Linked DNA regions of Arabidopsis thaliana. The main gene of each other region encodes a partner of the protein of the gene in region 4 in a complex. Each region holds a gene or a part of one and is shown on either strand. Other genes may lie near its edges.

The links.
Region 1: AT4G01310 (region 4) and PSRP6 share a complex: the UniProt entries of both Arabidopsis thaliana proteins name them as parts of the 50S ribosomal subunit.
Region 2: AT4G01310 (region 4) and RPL15 share a complex: the UniProt entries of both Arabidopsis thaliana proteins name them as parts of the 50S ribosomal subunit.
Region 3: AT4G01310 (region 4) and RPL9 share a complex: the UniProt entries of both Arabidopsis thaliana proteins name them as parts of the 50S ribosomal subunit.

Annotation. Positions count from the first base shown.
Region 1 is NC_003076.8:5,905,154-5,909,592, reverse strand, and holds PSRP6 (plastid-specific 50S ribosomal protein 6), read right to left. Parts: upstream 2,005-4,439; 5' UTR 1,846-2,004; coding exon 1,456-1,845; 3' UTR 1,129-1,455; downstream 1-1,128. Other genes in the region: CSA1 (disease resistance protein (TIR-NBS-LRR class)), read left to right, coding at 1-521, 658-719.
Region 2 is NC_003074.8:9,490,059-9,495,027, forward strand, and holds RPL15 (ribosomal protein L15), read right to left. Parts: upstream 2,598-4,969; 5' UTR 2,501-2,597; coding exon 2,417-2,500; intron 2,346-2,416; coding exon 1,982-2,345; intron 1,690-1,981; coding exon 1,538-1,689; intron 1,444-1,537; coding exon 1,210-1,443; 3' UTR 997-1,209; downstream 1-996. Other genes in the region: AT3G25910 (MAP kinase kinase kinase, putative (DUF1644)), read left to right, coding at 1-896; AT3G25930 (Adenine nucleotide alpha hydrolases-like superfamily protein), read right to left, coding at 2,974-3,034, 3,127-3,239, 3,404-3,495, 3,615-3,813.
Region 3 is NC_003074.8:16,384,175-16,389,820, reverse strand, and holds RPL9 (ribosomal protein L9), read right to left. Parts: upstream 3,427-5,646; 5' UTR 3,317-3,426; coding exon 3,164-3,316; intron 2,830-3,163; coding exon 2,702-2,829; intron 2,546-2,701; coding exon 2,500-2,545; intron 2,359-2,499; coding exon 2,261-2,358; intron 2,178-2,260; coding exon 2,130-2,177; intron 1,979-2,129; coding exon 1,858-1,978; 3' UTR 1,822-1,857; intron 1,574-1,821; 3' UTR 1,098-1,573; downstream 1-1,097. Other genes in the region: CHX4 (cation/H+ exchanger 4), read right to left, coding at 1-743, 834-1,097; ACD1 (Pheophorbide a oxygenase family protein with Rieske 2Fe-2S domain-containing protein), read right to left, coding at 3,617-3,871, 3,965-4,249, 4,322-4,481, 4,565-4,701, 4,790-4,916, 5,011-5,246, 5,550-5,646. UniProt on the Arabidopsis thaliana protein: Binds to the 23S rRNA.
Region 4 is NC_003075.7:542,210-547,148, forward strand, and holds AT4G01310 (Ribosomal L5P family protein), read right to left. Parts: upstream 3,358-4,939; 5' UTR 3,272-3,357; coding exon 3,026-3,271; intron 2,738-3,025; coding exon 2,537-2,737; intron 2,452-2,536; coding exon 2,309-2,451; intron 2,156-2,308; coding exon 1,957-2,155; 3' UTR 1,702-1,956; downstream 1-1,701. Other genes in the region: AT4G01290 (chorismate synthase), read right to left, coding at 1-152, 492-694, 808-915, 1,003-1,073; ATSTE24 (Peptidase family M48 family protein), read left to right, coding at 3,696-3,726, 4,422-4,569, 4,653-4,737, 4,824-4,919. UniProt on the Arabidopsis thaliana protein: Binds 5S rRNA, forms part of the central protuberance of the 50S subunit.

The DNA.
Region 1 (4,439 bases), on a different chromosome or scaffold from region 4:
TGTTGTCTCATTCAAGAACTGTAAAAGTCATGCCAACTTGATAGTCAAGTTCTCTTGTGAGCAAAATAACGGAGAGGGCTCTTCCAGCAGCATTACTTGGAAGGTTGGAAGTTTGATTGAACAAGACAACCAAGAAGAAACAGTTGAATCAGATCATGTCTTTATTGGCTACACCAACTGCTTAGACTTCATAAAACTTGTTAAAGGCCAAGGTGGTCCTAAATGTGCTCCGACCAAAGCATCCCTTGAGTTTAGTGTGAGAACTGGTACTGGTGGGGAAGCTACGCTTGAAGTTTTGAAATCCGGTTTCAGTTTTGTGTTTGAACCTGAAGAGAACAGAGTTCCATCCCCAAGGAATGATGATGTAAAAGGTAAAGTAAAAATCAACAAAACTCCAAGTGCTAATGGTTGTTTCAAGGATCAAGCAAAAGGTAATGAATCTCCAAAGGGCCAGTGGCAGACTTACATTGAAAACTCTAGCACTAACATCCCAAGTGAAGCTCATTCTTCCCAAAAAACTGGTTTTGGTTCCACTCTTTTGTGTTAAACTCATAGATTGCCTCTGTTTTCACACTATTTATTCTTTCGAACTCTCTGTATTTGTATCTTCATTGTGTATTTCTCCAGATGATTTGACTTAAGCTTTTAAGGTGTCAGGGTTTAATGGGTTCAACGGGATGTACTCTGTATGCGTGCTTTATGAAATGTATAGCCATTGATGTTGATCTTGGAATTGACTCCATAAACATGCAATGCAAGATAAATCGATCTTCTAAATTTCTCCTGGGACTAGACCGATACAAGATAGATTCAAGAATCAGAGTGATCAACCCATAACTGATATAAACATTTCTAAAAATGTTTTTGCTGAAACTCTTCATCAAACACACTTTAGATCACTTGGCTTAAAAATCTACAATAGAGTGTTTAGACCAAGTGTTGCACTATGGTGAGCAGAGCACATTGCCGTTTCACCTGAATCCAATCTAAAGGGAAATTTTAAAATTCCAATAATGCGGTATACTATACCGTACTCTTTAGAAGCTACATTCCCATTGCTATGGCAGCAAACAGAGCATTTGACAACAACTCCAGCATCAACCGCCACAAAACAGATACCATTGTGCTTTCATTTTCACATATCAAACTTAAACTCTTGTCATCCCAATTCAATTACTACTTGCAGAAATTAATGAGACCCAAAAGGAAAAAAGCAATTATAGAGAAGCAACATAGATGACAATGACGAGAGCTATAAACTATAAAGTTGAGACCTTTAAACTCAAAAACAGAGGAGAAAGGTTGAAGCTTTATAAATCGCAAATTTGGTCCATTCATTCACCAATCAAACACAAACAAACCCAACAACAAACATCAGAAAACTGAAAACACAGTAAACAACAACAAAAGTTCTCAAACTAGATTACAACCAAATCAGCAGATAACTCATACCAACTAGGCAGCGCCTGAAACCAAATCTCCCGCAGCAGTGGCAGCACCACCGTCGTCAGAAGCGAGAGTGAACGGACTCCATTCCGCCGGAAGAGGAGGAAGAGGAGCGTAAACAGTAGGCTTTCTCTTAATGTCCCAAGGCTGAGTCTTCTTCGGCCTCGTCTTCCTGTGATGAGCCGTCGATTTCTTCTGTGGCCTCGACGAACACTCTATCACCATCCCTAATCCTCCTCCATTACCCAATTTTGGAACTTGAAATTGGCGGAGAACCGGAGAAGCAGCAACGGTGACGATTCCGGTACCAAAGATCGCTGACACAGACATGGTTTCCTTATCTTTGTGCAAGTGAAAGTGAGTTTGAGCCTCTTGCTTCGGATTAGAGAAGAACTTCATATCTTCGTTTTCGTTTTTCCTGGGCTTTTTTATTGGGCCTTTGAGGTGTCTATTGGGCCTTTGTATATAGTTATGTAACTCGTTATGCTGCAAGCCTGCAGGCTGCAACAATCTATAAGATAAGAAGAGAACAAAAATTAAATTATTAGTGGCATCGAACTTTTTGTTGCTTAAACGTATCGAACTGTATAACCTCGTTAATTAAAGGAATTTAAGAATAGAGTAGCTGATTAAAAATGTATATTTTGCAATTTGTAAAGATGTCATGTATGATGTATACAGAGTTTTAAATGTTTTCTTTAACCTTAAACCAATAATGCTACAAGTGACTACGAGATAAGGTCTTTTGAATCACTTCTACAATAAAATACATTATTTCGGATTCTGCATCTTTTAATACTACACAAAAAAATACTTTTTTTATTAGTTTGAGTTTTAGGATTTATTTATATTCAAAGTATGCTTATTAAATTAATAAATTTGAATTTTCTTAACTTTGTTGTGTAATTTTTTTTTTCTTTTTTTTATAAACAAGACACGATTCATAGTCAATCCTTATTATGCGAAGTAACACGACTTAGTAGAGTCAAACTCTGGTAAAAAAGGTAGAATCAAATGGATTTAACTACTTAACTAAAAACATATTCTCATTTATGGTGTAATTTAGTTATCGAATTTGAGGAAGAAAACTAACTTTTTGTTTCAAAAAAAACACTATAAAAATGTTTATGTTATCATTGCTTCCTCTCTTTTAAAAAAGAAAATAAAATTAAGCTAGCGAACATTTATGTGAACTGACATTCGAAGACATCCATTCTAGTGGCTTTTAGGGTTTTTCAATGCTGCCAAAGCGACCAATAAATATATTTGTCCAAAACCTGTCTAATACTTATGGTTAATAATGTATTATACCTCAATAACAAGCCTAAGTTAGGCTTCAAACTAGCTACTATCACCAACCTAACCAATTTCACATTATATCAAAATAATCAATTGTCAGCGAAAATTGCGATTGCCATGAAAATTACTCTTCTTTACGTAGACTCAAAAACATTTACTAAAATTATGGCCCAAAATAAGATTACTTTCTTCTACGTGACTAGCATTATCCAATACATTCACCAAATCCACGTGCATCGGATTATCACCCCTTATTTTGTTGTCGACAAATTTGATTCTTTGGGTTCTTTATTTACAATAATAGTACTACGTATCTCTATATCAACAGCTCAGCCACTCGATTACACTAGTACGAAGAGATTCTGTTGGTTAGATCAAATTAGGTATCACAAACCTACGGTACCCATTGTTGCATTAGTATATAGTTTCGCAAACCTTATCCTTATCTTAGCACCGTTGAAATTATAACCGCGAGATAACACTTATCTGACTCTTTTTTTTCTAATCCCACTTATATATCAATCAATTTCATTCATTTTTAGAATCACGAAATTTGATTATTTGTCTTAAGTACGAGTCATCAACCATGGATAGTTAAATAGTTTTTTTTTTTTTAACATCTTGTTTTATTTTATTAGAATTGAAAGAAAGATTACATAGTTATTAGACACACACATATAACCAAAAGATGATTTAAGTTTAAGAAGAAGATACAATCGAACAAGTGAATTAAACAAATTAAATAGTTATACACGATATAACACATACATACATATATATAACACATACATACATATATATATATATATTTGTTTACAATATTATTTGATGGTTTTATATAAACAAATATTAGTCTATTTACAGGTAAGTGTCTTGTATAAAGGCCTAATTTGAGCCAGTTTTAGTCATGTGATTGCATTACATCGAGAAGAGAACCATATATGAATCGATTGCTCTCGTCCGTTTGCACTTTGCATTATTGCGTTATTTTGTTTTCTTGGAATTAGAGTTTGTATTTTGTACTGCACTAGCCATGCCAGCTAAATGAATATACCAGGAATCTTTTGGATACTTTTTTTGTTTATCAATATTTTTATTTCGGACCTTAATTAAAGGAAATTGATCTTGGTCGGAAATATTTATATATTATCTAGAAAATTTTAAAAGATACGTAAAACAAGCTTTTCCTTTATGAAAAACGATCGATTATTATTTAATAGAAATGTATAATAATTTCATGTTAAAAAATGTTAACAGTTTTCAATAGAAATATCGGTTACGTTGCATAAATATTTATCTGACTACAAAGTAACGTTGTGTCAATATAGAGTAAATGACATAACTCCTAAGAATACAAAAGGAATAACTACTTGTCATGAATATTGGAATAAAGACTTATAACGTATTTTCAACTATCTCAAATCATGATGAATACAAAGTAGCCGGCGGTTTTTTCACTAAAAAATAAAAGATGGCGGTCCAAAATTTTATCAAATTAATGATCTTTAATTTTTGTTTGCATCATTTATTAAATTCTCATGTGTATTCTTTAACGATGCAATATAAAAATTACAAGCAAATCATAAGAATGTGGATATGACGACTATGTTTGAAAAGTCGTGATCGGTTGAGATTGCGTTGCAAAGTGGTCTACTCAGCCAAAATACTTCTTAATCACATCAATCGACCTTCAG
Region 2 (4,969 bases), on a different chromosome or scaffold from region 4:
GGCATTCTAACTGTTTCGATCAGTTCCGCAAAGCTTCTAAAGAGAAACCTTCTTTGTCTTTACTTCGTGAGGAAGAGGAAAGTAATGAACCAACTGAGATGGAAGATGTGGATTCAGACTCAACTGCTGTAAATCTATTAGGAGAAGCTGCATCTGAGATAACAGTTGTGGATTTAAGTGATGGTGAGAGAGGAGAAGAAGAAGTAGAAGAAGAAGAAGAAGAAGTAGTAGTAGAAGAAGAAGAAGAAGGAATTGTAACAACAGAAGAAGATCAAGAAAAAAACAAACCACAAAAGCTTACTTGTCCGTTATGTCGTGGACATATAAAAGAATGGGTAGTTGTTAAAGCAGCTCGATGTTTCATGAACTCAAAACATAGAAGCTGTTCTTGTGAGACTTGTGATTTCAGTGGAAGCTATTCCGATCTGAGAAAGCACGCAAGGCTTCTACATCCAGGAGTTAGGCCATCAGAAGCAGATCCAGAGAGACAGAGAAGCTGGAGGAGGCTAGAAAGGCAGAGCGATTTAGGGGATTTACTTAGCACACTCCAATCTTCTTTTGGAGGAGATGAAATAAGTAACGATGATGGGTTTCTATTTGCTGATACTCGCTTGCTTACAGTGTACTTTCTCATCCGCGTGTTTAGACCAGAATCGAGTGGCTCAAGGAGTAGTAGCTGGTCTGGTACATCTAGAGCTAGGACACATACAAGTGGGAGAAGAAGATCTTCAAGACCTGCAAGTCTTTGGGGAGAGAGCTATGAAGGTAATACAGGAACATCACCTAGAGATGAGGAGAATAATCAATCTTCTGATGAACAAGTGTCTGGAACTCGGAGACGTCGTTCTAGAAGAAGAACTGTCATTGATGATGATGATGAAGAAGAAGAACCGTGATGCTCTGCAGTTTGGAAATTTGGTCTTTGGAGTTTATGATAAAATGGGGGAAACCTTGTAGTAATAACCCCACTTATGAAACCCTATTATGTAAAATTTCTTTGGAGATTGAAAAAAGTTTCTACTATTGGGAAACAAAATGTTCAATATTTCATTACCGTTTAAATATCTTTTTGATAATGACTCTTCAAACAACAAAATGTAAATCTCTTCACCATACAAAAAGACAAAGGAATTGTAATTAACATTTGTCATAGACAATTATCTTCTCTGCAGCTTTACAACACTAAAAAGAGCTTGAAACTGAAGTAATTTAAGCAGAGGCTGCTGGCTCTGAAGTTGCTGCTTCTGCTGCTGCAGCTCTCTTCTTGGCAAAGTATTCATCTGCTCGTGCTTGGTTCTTTGCAACAGATGGCTTAACCCATTTCTTTCTTCCCGGCAACACAGTGAGTGTACAACCTGAAGCTTCAAGCTTCTCTTTTGCTTGTGTTGAGAAGGCACGAGCTTTGAAGGTGAGCTTCATGCTTAGTTCTCCTGTACCCAGAATCTGAAATCCAAGACCAATCAAAACGTTTAAATAAAGAAAGAAAAGACGAAAGCACAATCGAAAGAAGTAGGATCAACAAGTTTGGAAAACTAACCTTAAGAGGGAGTTTCCTTTCTCTCCCTGAAGGATTAATCAAACCCTTTTGCTTCAATGTCTCCAATGACACTTCATCTCCCTCTTGAAACCCAGCTGTTTCTATGTCTTTGATATTAACCGGTAAGTATTTAGGTAATCCTGAACGCATACCTGTTTAAAGAACACAGTAACGCAACGATGCATCAGAAATATATCTCTATTGGTTTGAGCTAATTAGCAAAATCGAACCATGAAATATCTCTATTCACTAACTACAATCTTGATCCATAGTTGTCAATTCATGGCTCTCTTACCCAATATTAAATCTATGAAACAAATGTGCCCTAACTAAATAAAACTGAAAGCAGCATCACCAAATTTAAACAGAGCCTTTTGGATGAGACATTTCATCGAACATTTGGGCTACACAAAACTTGGATACCAAACAAAAACAAAACTTTACCTCCAGCGATTCCTCTAAGTTTGGGAAGACGACGATAAAGAGCAGTTTGACCACCTTCAAAGCCTCTCATAATCCCAGGACCCGATCTTGATTTCTGACCTCTCATACCAAAACCACAACTTGCTCCTTGTCCTGCAGAGATACCTCTACCTTTTCTCTTCTGCTTCTTCCTCGAACCTGGCTGTGGTCCAAGATTATCCAAACGGAATCTCTCCGGAGCTACAACTGCCGACGACGTAGCCGCCGTTTGGCTAACCACAACAAGGGGTCTCGCAAATTGCTGTTGGTTTCTCGTTTTAAGGGTTTGGTTGAGTTTCAGAGATAGAATCTGACTTGGGTTTGCCCCCAAAACACTTACATTTCCCTGTACACATTTCAAATTCCAATTTTACGGATTCATTCAAAATTGACATTTGTAGAAGAATGAGAGATTACCTTGAATGAAGTAGAAGATAAGTGGAGACGGTAACAATGGCGGGAGGTGAGAGGATTTGATGAGATTGAGAGTGGAGTAGCCATGGTCACAGGGAACAACAGATGAAACAAAGCTTCAAGGATAAGGTTGAGGAAGATAGATAGAGAGAGATAACTTTCTTGAGAAACTTAAGAGTTAAACGACATCGTCTTACATAATCACTTAATTGTTTATTGGGCCTTTCACAGCAAATTTAGGCCTTTTCGTTTTCAATAAAAGAGTCGTTACTCGTTCGTATCAATTCGTTTGTGTCCAAAGTGGGTTTTCAGATAAGCTCATGTCTGAATTAGTCGGGATGATCAAGACACCAGTGCCAATAAAAGAAACGATAAGAAATTATAGTATTTATACTAACTTGATATATATAAACACAAATATTTATACACATAACACAATTATAAGTTCAAACTACAACCCCAAATCAACACCTGAAACTACAACCCCAAATCATTACACAATCTCAATTAACCACATAGAAAATTATATATATTGGTGAATTTTGTAACTTCCTTAATCTTTAATCTTTGCGAAGTCTTTTCTTCACGACAAGAAGAGAACAATCTGTATTTTGTGTACACCTGCATTTAATTAAAAGATGTTTGTTATCTCAACTTTTCCATCAATACTAAGTTTTTTAACTGATATTTTGAAATTAAAAGATGTTTCTTACTTTTTGAGACTTTGTTGATCGCTCGTAACTATTAAATTGATATTTCGTTCTTGAATTATCTTGCGGATTAGATCTTTAGGGTCTCCATCATCAGTAAATGTCTCTGCCTTGATCTGTTTTCAACATGATTATGATGAGATCATGAGACTAAAATATTGCAACAAATGGTTGTCATGAAAAGAACTTCATTTTTTTCTTTTAAAACTTTGGTATTTAAAAATATATATATGATATTGTATTAATAACAAGTTAAATGATTCAGTCAATAGATTATTACCCCATGATTTAAACATATCTTCTTGGCTTTCTCTAATATACCCAAAGCAATTTTCATATTCTTTTCTTGAGCCAATCTTATGAGTTCTGAATCTGCAAAACACACATAAAAACTGATCAATTTTCAACAAAAGAAAGTACTAGGTGAAAATGGATAGAAAATTTGATATTTATTGAAAACTCCCAACAAATTAGTCGATAAAATGACTTACTAGGTGAAAATGGATAGAAAATTTGAGCAAAGCCGACTGATGAAGAAAGTACGGTAGGAGGAGTAAAGGAATTTTGTGGCTGTTTTGCAAAGATATAAACTTTGGAGCTCTCAATGGTATCTTTTTGGTTTTCAAGTGCCCAAATGAGTAAATCATAACTTGCGTTGCTCTCGTCAATAATCAGCATAACATTCTTCATCTTCTCTCTTTGTTTCTTCTTCTCCTTTCTTCTTCTAGCTTCTGCTAAAACCTCTTGTCAATGTGCAACTTTATAGTATATTTGGAAGTGGATTAACTTGTCAAAGGAAGTAATATAAAAAAAAATCTTAGGTGATTGGGTAATTGAAAGGCATGGGTTAACGACTTGATTCTGGCTTCTTCTCGTTTGCAAAATAAAATAAAATTATACACACAAGTAATACTATATTAAACCCGTGTGTAGTGGCAAAGTAGGTTTGGATTAGAACCAAAAGCGTAAAATCGCTATAACTTCAAGTTCAATCCCACAATATGCAATCATTTAAAGAAATTACATAACGATTTATAGTGATTTAATCTCCATGTTATATCACTTGATCATTTAGATTTCGGTTCAGATTCTGCTTAACTTGTGATGAGTTTGCGGAAAACGTTTTACTGAAATTTTCAAAAGACTAGTCATATGCTTATTCAAATTAGGATAGAGACAATGCTAAGTCTAACAAAAAAACATTTGTATATCAAAAAAGAAAACAATCGAATAATATGATCTCATTCTACAACATATTACCAATTCTCCATTGAAATATTCCATTAATAAAATGGTGTGAGTGGACCGGTGTTTGGTAACTGCCGGATACACGCCATTGATGACATAAAACATTATTCTCTTTGTCGGAATTTTTAATCATAATTAAATATCATTAGAGAGAGTTGGTAAAAGAAAAGACATAATTAGCTAAACGGGCTAAAATGAAAAGTTAATGGGCCAAACAGACATATATCCAGCCCATTATAATCTCTGCATCTCCTACCTCTGAATCCCAAAAACCCTAGCGATTTTTTTCTTCTCTCCCGAGACGCTCTGTGATAGCGAAAGCATCTGTTGTAATCTAAGGTACTCGATGATTCTCCTTTTCCATTTTAGTTCTCATTTGAAGTATATAGAACTGTAAAAATTTGTTAAAGTTATAATTTTGGGTTTTAACGGAATTTAAAGTCTCGAACTTTCGATTCTGAGTATGATTTTGATGCTCATAGTACTACTCTTGAAATTTTAGATGATGTTAATGGAGATATTTAGCTTAAAGATGCTTACTTTACTCATCTGTTGAGCATAGGATCGTCTTAATCTTTTTACTCATTACTTGTAAATT
Region 3 (5,646 bases), on a different chromosome or scaffold from region 4:
CCTAAGATAAAAGGTCCTATGAAAATAGATTGCTTGCACCAATCGGCAAGAATGGCTGATCCAAAGACAAGAATGATGATTGCATATATATAGAATTTCTTTACGGGACGACCAGAAGGTGTTCTCTTGATAATGAAGAACATTAATGGTCTGAATATGTATATGGCAAAACAAACAAACAAGACCACTGTGCCCGCACGCTTCATAGGACGGTTTCCAACAATAACATCTCCGATAAAAACTGATCCAAGCCGAGATTTATCGTCCTTGAGTTCCTTTAGAAAGACTAGAACCGCAGAGAGGATCGAGGTGCTGAAGTCACTGATCACTGCAGAAGACATAGCGAGACGGCCAAGCTCTGAATTCTGGAGCCTAAGCTCAAAAAGAAGGTTTCCAATTACAGGAAACGACGAAAGGCATTGGATCAAATAGATGAAAATGATTTCAAAGAAACTCATAACCGGTTCTCCCTTTTTCGTCCCTACATCTCTTAGGATCAAGAAGAAGATCAAGGCGCAAACCGTTATAGAGAGTAACACTGAGGAAAGACCGATAGCTACAGCTTTTCTCCCGGTGCTGCGGATCAAACTCAAGTCCATTTTAACTCCCATCAAGAACCAAAACATCATGTAGGAACATGCACCCACTAAACCAAACAGAGTCTCTTTATAGTCTTCCGTCGAGAGGAATTTCCTAGCCGGTGTATTCTCCTTAAGAAACGACTTGCTCAAGAGAATCCCAGTCTGGCAAAACCACACAGAATATCAAACATAAGCAATGCAAACAAAGAGGAAGAGAGATTTGAAGATTCAAGAATTGAGTAAAGTTCTTACAAGCATATGGGAGGTGAAACGAATCATGCCGAGACGTCTGAGGAAGAAATGGAAGAATTGCCAGAGAATAGTGACGATAAGGAAAATGATCTGAACATGTGGAAACATGTAATTCCAGAACTCAATGTTTGCTTGAGGATCTGGGAGCTTCGGGGAGGGCCATAGCCCGCTCGAGCTCGGGTTAATAGGCAAGATACCGCAGATCATGTTTGCATCTCTCCATGTATCTCTCAGGTAAGGGATCCTATCACCATTAAACTCCATTGGACAAAACTTGTTAACAAGAACAAAGATGATAGAAACAAGAGAATCATATGATTATAAAAACCGAATCAAGAGCTATAACTGTCTTAAACAAAAAAGGTTTTGGTAACAGAATTGAAGAGAAGCAGTGAAACAAAAAAACATCTGGGTTTTGTCATTAAACAACAACTCTCTAAAAATAGTCAATCTTGTGGGAACAAGAGACGGCGACATAGTTTTTCAGATTTCTGGTTATTTGTTAGTTTTTTAAACAGCTTGTTAGTGTTAATTTAAGCATTCTCATCACTTCAACAGACAAATGAATACAATATAACTTCAAGTAAATATCATAACTTGCAAGAGAATATTATACTTTTAGCGTTTCCAGATTCCAAAAATAGCAAAAATACAAATGCATCAAACAATCTAAAGGAAAAACTTCACAACCTTCAATCCTCACCACAAGAGGCTACTCTCTTTTCCCTCTCTATACGTTCCTGCAAGTTCAAAACACCAAACACAGTGCGATGGACAATTAGCATCTGCGTTTGCGGCTAGACCTTAAAACGCAAAACTCCGTTCAACAGCCAATATTCCCGACCAATGTTTATATGCCGATGTTCAGAGTTCAGAACATCGGTTTAACTACTTATTTCATGCCAATTAAGACACGAACTAAGACAAAACTAATACTTAGTTTCATTTATGGTTAAAAGCCACATGATCATGGAAAATCAAGAAATACCTTGGGATGCAGTAGGAGTCTTGAATCGTTGAAGGTTTAGTTAGCGAAAACATTGATCTTAACTCGAGCAGTGACATCGGGGTGAAGCTTGAGTTCGGCTATGTATTCTCCGGTTTCACGGATTTCTGGGAGAGAGACAAGGCGTTTGTCGATGTCCCTGCAAAACACAGCCACAGAGAAGCAGATAAAACCATATTAGGTTCTTCGAACAACACTAAAAACCAAATGTAGACTGATCCAACTAAACCGCCCACATGAGAAAGCTTGTAGCTTTTTATGTGGAAATGTAAAATTTTCTATGTTGTTACTTTTGGAGCTGTGATTTGATGATGTCGACGAGGTCTTGAGCTGTGACACTGCAGGAAAATATAAAGTTAAGTACAGGCTAAACACTATTCTCAAGACTGTTAAAATCTAGATTTGCTTAAGTAGGACTTACGATCCAAATATCAGTTTGCCTTTACCGCCTTTGCGTTTAACCTTGAAAGCACCAACGGTTTGGAATACCATCGCCAGTTGTTGTGCCTCTTCTTTCACCTGCAAAAAAGGTTCCACGCAAAGAAAAAACCAACAAACAGATGAAAATCAATAACCAAAGAGTTTTTTGGTGATCACTCAAACACCAAAACTTTACATGATGATCAAATAAAAACAATCAATGTATTCATATCAGATTACCCTTTGCTTCTCTGCCTCAATCCGTTCGTCTTCCATCTTCAATTCCCTGGGGGAAAAACACACACACAAAAAGAAAGAAAATGATGTTTTTCTTGTTGATCTTACAACATTGTAGCAAAGTCCCTCGAAATACAAAGGCCTTAGAACCGAATAGTAAGAGCATACAAAAGCGAACGGAAATTTCGAAGTTGAGGTGAATTACTTGAGCAGAAGTGGAGTCATAAGCTGAGCCTTTCCAGTAGGCAAGAGGAAGTTTCTGAAAAATCCAGCTTTCACATCAAGTAATTGCCCTTGCTTACCCAAATCCGTCACATCCTCTTTCAAAATTACCTTAAAGACACAAAACAAGATTTACCATTAGTGTTTCACTTACTCCATTTCTCTACACAGAAACAAAGCTTCAAACCAATTTATCTTCACTACTTGAAACTAAACTGGTAATATAAAGGCGTCTACTTTTCTAATGTTGATTCATCTTTCTTCCTAACTACGCTGATACAAGAACAAAGACGATGTTTTTACACTAAACCCATAAATTAAGCATCTTCAAGTCTTTTACTTTCATCTCCACCAAAATTCTTCAGAAACACAAGCTCAAATCAAAAACTAACTAAAAGCCAAATCAAATTTTTGAAGGAAACCCATGAAAGGTAATGACTTTTACCTTGCGAAGTTTCTTAGCTTTCTTCTGGGAAACAACTTCAAAATTGAACCTTCGCTCAGATACTTTTAGGGTTTCATTTGCACCGCCATTGAAGCTGTGTGACCAACAAGGAGAGGAGCTCCATGAGAGAGACAAAGCTGTCGAAGAAGCCATAGCCAAAGCTGATTTCACTTCAAAGCAGAGATAACAAGAGCGCACAGTTGTAGTAATTGTTATCTTCTTATCGGCTTTTCGTGTGCTTGCTCAAGTGAAGTGACGAATGTTTTTCTTATGTTTCGAATTTGACCCCGTAATTATTCTACTTTTCTGTTTTCTTACTTAAAAGTTTTATAAAGTTCAATTGAGTACCCAAAATTTAACGGTTAAATCGGTTTTATAGTGCTAAAAGTTCCTCTGGATTTTGATTTACAATGTTTGTACTTTGTATGATGATTATACATATACACAACAAATCTACTCGATTTCAGAATGTACATAATCTCTAAACACAAAGTTCTTCTCTTGTTCATGTAAAGCATATGCAGAAGCAGCTGATATCAGTGATAAACCAGCAAGAACCAGTCGAATCTGAACATCAGAAGGAACACCAGCCGTGGCGGCCCAGAAAACCGTCGCGCCAACGAGAAACTTCTTGAGGATTTGGAAACTGTTGTAAGCTCCTTTGCAGGAAGAGCATACTTGTGTATGCTGATCAAATCTATCTAGCATCTGTTTGTTCAAATTTGTCACGTTTTCAGACATGTGTTTGTATATATATAGAGATCAATCAAATGATGTTAGGATGCATGATTGATGGCTCACCTGACGCTTGGTTAAGACAGTGGAAGGGAGAGGTTGGTTAGACGGGGTGGAGCCGAACCATTCAGGCTGACTCTTACCATGCCGTCTGAGCCAGTTTCTGAATGCTAGAACAAAACGGTCTGCCTGGGTTGGAGTGAATGTGAGCTTTGTGTACTGTTTGTTCACGTCGTAGTCTGGTGACTCCATTGATTTAGCGAGGAATACTTTCTCTTGTCCTTGAAGTACGATCATGTCTCCGTCATAGACTAAGTTCGAAGTCCAGTGTTCATACCATCTTGGTACAACCTAACAAGGAACAGCTTCAGAAGAATTTACGTAGTAAAATCGGATTAGAGATGGAATCAAAGTTTGTTTTACCTGCCACCAAGCTGGTCCTGGTACAGAGAACTGAAAGAAGTTACGGGCGCTGCAAACGATGGAACGGGTCTTTCCTGGAGCCATTGGTATATTGAATGAGCAAATCCAAATGACCCATTTTTGATTACCGACGATTGGTAGTTTCGCATCTAACTCAATTCTGTAGACAAGGATACACAATTTCATTCTATGCAACTGTATGCTAACCATTTATTATGTATAGTGAGCAAACTCAACACTCACTTGTTCATAGAATAGCACGGAGCAACAAATTTTGCGGTTATCCTTGGACTGTCATCATTCGCACCTTGGAAACCCCAAGGCCCACTTGACTCCACCTTGAACGGCAATGGTTTGGCTCTGTCTCTTCTTCCTGTAACCTGTTTACAACACGTAATCATCGCCTGAGGATAATATCCCTTAGTGGAAATGCAAACACATTGGGAGCTTTGAGAAAGAAAACAACACCTTGTGATGAGCAAAATCTATATGGGAAGGATCAGATACATTTTCCATGAGAGTATCATATCCATAGAAAAGATCCCTTTGAATTGTCACCGTCGAAAATTCCGGTTTATCGAAATCATCCGGCAACCTTTTATGTTAAAGATCAACGCATTTAATAAAACGAGTAATAAAACGAGTATGCTATGTTCATGGAAGCCTGAGAAGATAATCATTTTCGTTACCTAGGGGGTTCAATTGAATTGGCTCTATCCCAACCATTTTCATCAGGCCACACAAAGAGAAGACCTTGAGACACCATTGTCGGGAACTTAATAGCACAAGCTCTCGGGGATTTAACAGCACGAGCTTCAGGACCTGAAGTAGCAGCCTGAGGAATCCTAGTGCAAGATCCACACCCACCAAATGACCATCCATGATACGAACATTGCAAGTGTCCATTCTCATCCAACCTTCCTTCCTACATAACCACAATGCATCAACACATACACAAACACATCAATGAGTCAAGCTCAAAACTTTGGTTACATACACAACAAAGTTTACTTCTTTTTGCTCATAAGTCATAACAATAACAACAACACAAAACTGTTCTGATTCTGACCCTAATATTTTATTCTTTGAAGCTTTTAACCTAATTGATATACTTTAAAAATCAAAACTTTACAATAAACAATCATCTACAATAATTTATTCTTCTAATCCAAATCCAAATCACAGTTATAAACTACTTGAACTGTTTCTTCCAAGAGAGAGAGATTACAGATAAAGGAGCGAGCCGGTGAGGGCAGAGATCATCAAAGGCTGCCCATTTCTGATCATTCCGATCAAACCAGAGTACAAGGTCTCGACCCAAGAGC
Region 4 (4,939 bases):
CTGATGTGAGTCATTAGATTGAGGTCTAGGGGCAGATGTTCCCGCACCAAATCCAGAAGGCTTAGGGAAAGAACCTTTCCCAAGAAGTCCATCATGCTCAGGTGCTTGCCAAGACCTCCGAGATGGCATACCAGAACGCCTTCCAGGCTCTCCTAACAAAATACACAGTTCCAAATCAACTATAATACACCCAAATTCCAGAATTTTTCGAAAAGACCTTCTTTTCATGTTCACTAGACAAGCAGACTTCATGCCATTCACTTTAGTTAAAAAAAGGTGGAAATCTACATTTACGCATATTGAACAGCCAGATGGATAGAGTTGAAATCATAATAATGAACACTTTTTTGCAGAAAGACATAATTCGTAGGAGTATTTTATAGGTCATATATAACAACAAGGTAACTATTCAGAATACTAGTCCACCTTGTTACTGTAGTAACGTCATCATACAGCATGTAAAGAATAGGATACGAGTAAGCTCCGGCTACCTGAGTCCCGGTCTGACTGTGAATCACTATCTTTATCATTCCATCCACCAGAGCGCCCTTCCCATCTTCCATGGGTGCCTCGAGAGTTAGTACCTAATTCCCCCCTGGTGGGAGGCGATGAACTATAGTCATTCCGCCTGAAACCATGCGACGAAAAATCGCCTGAAATTCTTGCTCGCTCGGGTGAAGGATCTTCGAAGTCACTACTCAAATAAAGAGTGTACAAATCAAGACATGTCACTCCAACATGATCAAACACATTTACACAGTTTCTAGAAATCCAAACTAAAAAAAAAACTATCGGATAGAGTCTCACAGCAACAGTGCTTCATCAAATTCACCAGGCAGATTTGGCAGCTTCTTGCAAACGTCTTTCTCGCTCAAGGATATAAGAAACTTCCTCGTGTATGTAATTCTTGGTTTCCTGAAAACAATTGCAACTGCAGCTGAGAAATGTACAATAAGCAGCAAAACAGAGACATGGATTTTACAAAAAACAGAAAAAACATACTTTTCCGAATCATCATTGGTTTCGACAAGTTGATCCATGGCAAATTGTTGTTCATTTGCTATACTCATCATACAATGCACAAAAATCTTAGCTGATTGAGGCCAAAAAACACCAGTATCTCTTCTTAACGCCTTAATCAAGTAACTCTACAGTAGTTGTCTATAGTAAATACCGTGAAATATGATTCTTCGATATTACAGTAACCACCAATAATATCTCAACTAGCAAAACTTAAACCACGATTCACCACCACGCAACTTCATCAGGATCTAGCTATATGTACAGTGAAAGATTTCAGAGAAGAGAAATTACAGCTCAAAGCCAAAGAAAACTAGCTCATCCTAAACTCACAAGGCTTTAATCTCTCGTATCGGATTCTCTCACCCAACCAAAATAAATAAAAACCTCAAATCGGGAAAAGATGAAAACAGATTATAACATTTCTGCAGTAATCTAAGGTCTTCGACAGCTAGGGTTTTTAGCGCTAATGGGGAATTACATGGATTCCAGAATCCATCAGAAAAGGATAATTAGAAAGAAAAAAAAGTAAGAGTCGCCGATTCTAGAAGAACAAAAGGAGAACGGAGAAACCAATTAGGGTTTCGATCTGCAGAAAGATAATTTTGCTGTTGCTGTTTGTTTTGATCGATTGATGATGAAAAAGAGAAGATCGAAACCAAGTCTTACAAAGAAGAGCGATTTCTCTCAAAGGGGAAGGTAAAATTGACAAATCCACGCGCTAGCTTTTCACGTTCACTCACGCGCTACATTTTGTATAATCCACAAAACTTTCAATAAATTACAGAAAAACCTTGATAAATTTTTACCATAACAACAAGATCCCTGATATTATTTTCAAATTGACTCATAAAGCATTACAAAAGGAGATGGTTTTTCTGAAACATGAAATGGTTGGTTACAGAAGACGATACATACAATAGGCAGCTATGTTCATCATCTCTTTCCTTTTCCTTTAGCATCAAAGTGATGAGACTTTAGTTTCTTCTTCCGCACTATCGCGCCTGTGCTGCCACCACCTCCTTCCCTGAAAGGCATTCCCATTAGAGCCAATAGTTTCTGTCCTTCTTGATCGCTTTTAGCCGTTGTGCTGATGCATACATCCATTCCTCTCGTTTTTCCAACGGCATCAAACCTAGAGTGTAATAAACCAACCAACCAACATAGAGTTTAGTTGCTCGGTTGTAAACAAAGAGTGGGACTAAAGAGAAACCATGCTTGATCTTGTTGAACCAGCGGATAACAAGTTAGTAGTTTTGATTTTGAGGGTAGATACAATAGAACTAACCTGATTTCAGGGAATACACCTTGGTCTTTCACACCAATACTGTAGTTTCCGTTCCCATCAAAGCTACTGGGACTCACACCTTGGAAATCTCGAGTTCTCGGAAGGGCTAAGTTGATAAGACGATCCAAGAAGGAGTACATTACCTGTCACAACAGTCAAAATCACAAAATGTTAATACATAAATAACTCAAAAGGAAAGTTTGATTAGTCAAGAGAAATATAGCTCACATCTCCTCTGAGAGTGACAGCAATCCCAAGAGGTTGATCTTCCCTGATCTTGAAAGTAGCAATGGAAGCTCTAGCTCGTGTCTTAATAGGTTTCTGCCCTGTGATAAGCGCGATATCCTTCATCGCAGCCTCCAAACCCTTGTCGTTCTGCGCCGCATCTCCAATACCACAATTCACTACAATCTTCTGTACCTTTGGAACCTGGTAGAGAAGATGTCCAAGCAGATATACAACAATGATGAGATTGACAAATTCACATTCACATTTGTAAATGGCACATCCCAACAGCACGATTTTATCAACACAACAATCTTAAATCTAGGCTTCTTCACTACATTTTCTAGAAGAAATCAATTCAAACTTATCATTAAAAGCAAATTAGGTTTAACATTCGCTCAAAAAATTCGAATTCACTGAGAATTAGACTTCAATCAATCGCAACAGAACAAAAACTAGGTTTGAGCTCAGAGGGGAAGGATTTGGGGTTACCTGGTGAATATTAACGTACTTGAACTCTTCTTTGAGCGCAGGGATAATCCTCTCGAGGTAAGCGGTTTTGAGGCGTTGAGTTTTCTCGGCTTCAGATTTCTCGACCAGTACAGTTCCAGACGCCGAGACTTTCACCACGTTTCTGAGCGGCGGAGAGAGCATTCGTGCGGAGGATGGAGCCGCTAATGGTGAGAAACGTCCGTGAAACGAAGAAGCGGAAGACTGCAGAAGCGAAGGAGACGCCATTGTCGAAGCTCCAAGTGGATAAAGTGTGAAGTGAGAGCTCTCGGCGTTCGTTGTTGATTAAACCCAATGGCACCTTCGTAATTTGTTGACAGTTTGAGGATAAGGAGTTTTCCGTTTAGCCCCTTTAAAACATAATATTTCAACTAAGGCCCCAATATTTGATAATATACTATTATACTTAGAGATTTTAGATAAAATATAGGGGTTGTTTCATATGGGCCTAAATCTCAGCCCGTTTACTATTTGGGCTTCTAAGGTATAACCCGTACCCGTGTTTTTGTTGTTTTACATATCCACACCGACCTGAGAAGAGTCAAAAACGAAAAACCTCTCTTTTGTCGTTCCTCTGCTTTCTTCGATTTGCTTCTGCTTTCTTCGATTTGCTTCTGCTTTCATCGCGGTTCAGGTCACTCTTTTCTCAGCCATGGCGATTCCTTTCATGGAAACCGTCGTGGGTAAGCTTCAAAACCTTTTTCTGAGACATTTTACTATCCTGTTTCACTCATCGTATTTCGTTTTTGTTTGGGTTTTGCTTTCTGTGTTGTGTGTGTTGAGATTCCATGACTCGTTTGTTTCATATACCATCGTCTCTGCTTCTCGTTTCTAAATTTTGTTCTTTTCTAATAGTGCGTACCTTGATCTGAGGTTTTATTACTCCTACTAGTTTCTTGTCTTACTCGTGCGTTTGATTTGATTTGAGCTTATGTGATTTCATCATCTCTTCCTCGGTTTTAGAATGTACGGAGCTTCTCTGTTAACCAAAATCTAGGATTTGGGAAGAAAAGTCGGAGTCTTTTTTTTCCTCATTCCCGATTGGAAATTGAGAATCTTGAAATTTTTCTTTGTTCAAGTCATACAGCTTGAGGTTTTGGGTTTTCTTGTCAGGGTATTATTATGTTCGTGACTGCAACTAGAGTTTTCTGGAGTTTTTTGAAATGGGTTTTGTGTTGTGGAACCGTATGTGAATGTTGCATCAAAACTCTTTCAGTGCTCCAATGTTTCCATCAGTAGTCAGCACAAGAGATCTTTTTATATCTGGTTGATCAAAAAAGTAGATGATGTTATTGAATTTTCAGTGATGGAGTATCTGTTGTTGTGGCATTTAGAGTAGATTCGTATTTCATCTTCTGTTTTATTCTTTTTCTTACAGGTTTTATGATAGTGATGTACATTTTTGAGACGTATTTGGATCTGAGGCAACTCACTGCTCTCAAGCTTCCAACTCTCCCGAAAACCTTGGTTGGTGTAATTAGCCAAGAGAAGTTTGAGAAATCACGAGCATACAGTCTTGACAAAAGGTTTCGTCTTGATCATATTTATATCATTTTAGTTTTTTATAATTGCCAGGGGATATCATCACTGAGAACTTTAATATATGCAGCTATTTTCACTTTGTTCATGAGTTTGTAACTATACTTATGGACTCTGCAATTTTGTTCTTTGGGATCTTGCCTTGGTTTTGGAAGGTACATATCTGGTTTCGGTATACAGTATCTCATTTTGAATATAGAGTTGTTACATTACAATTGTAAAGTTTTCATTTTTACCTTAGATGTCTGGAGCTGTTTTACCGAGGTTGGGCCTTGATCCAGAGAATGAAATACTGCATACTCTTTCATTCTTGGCTGGTGTTATGACATGGTCACAGGTGTTCCAAATAAACCCCTT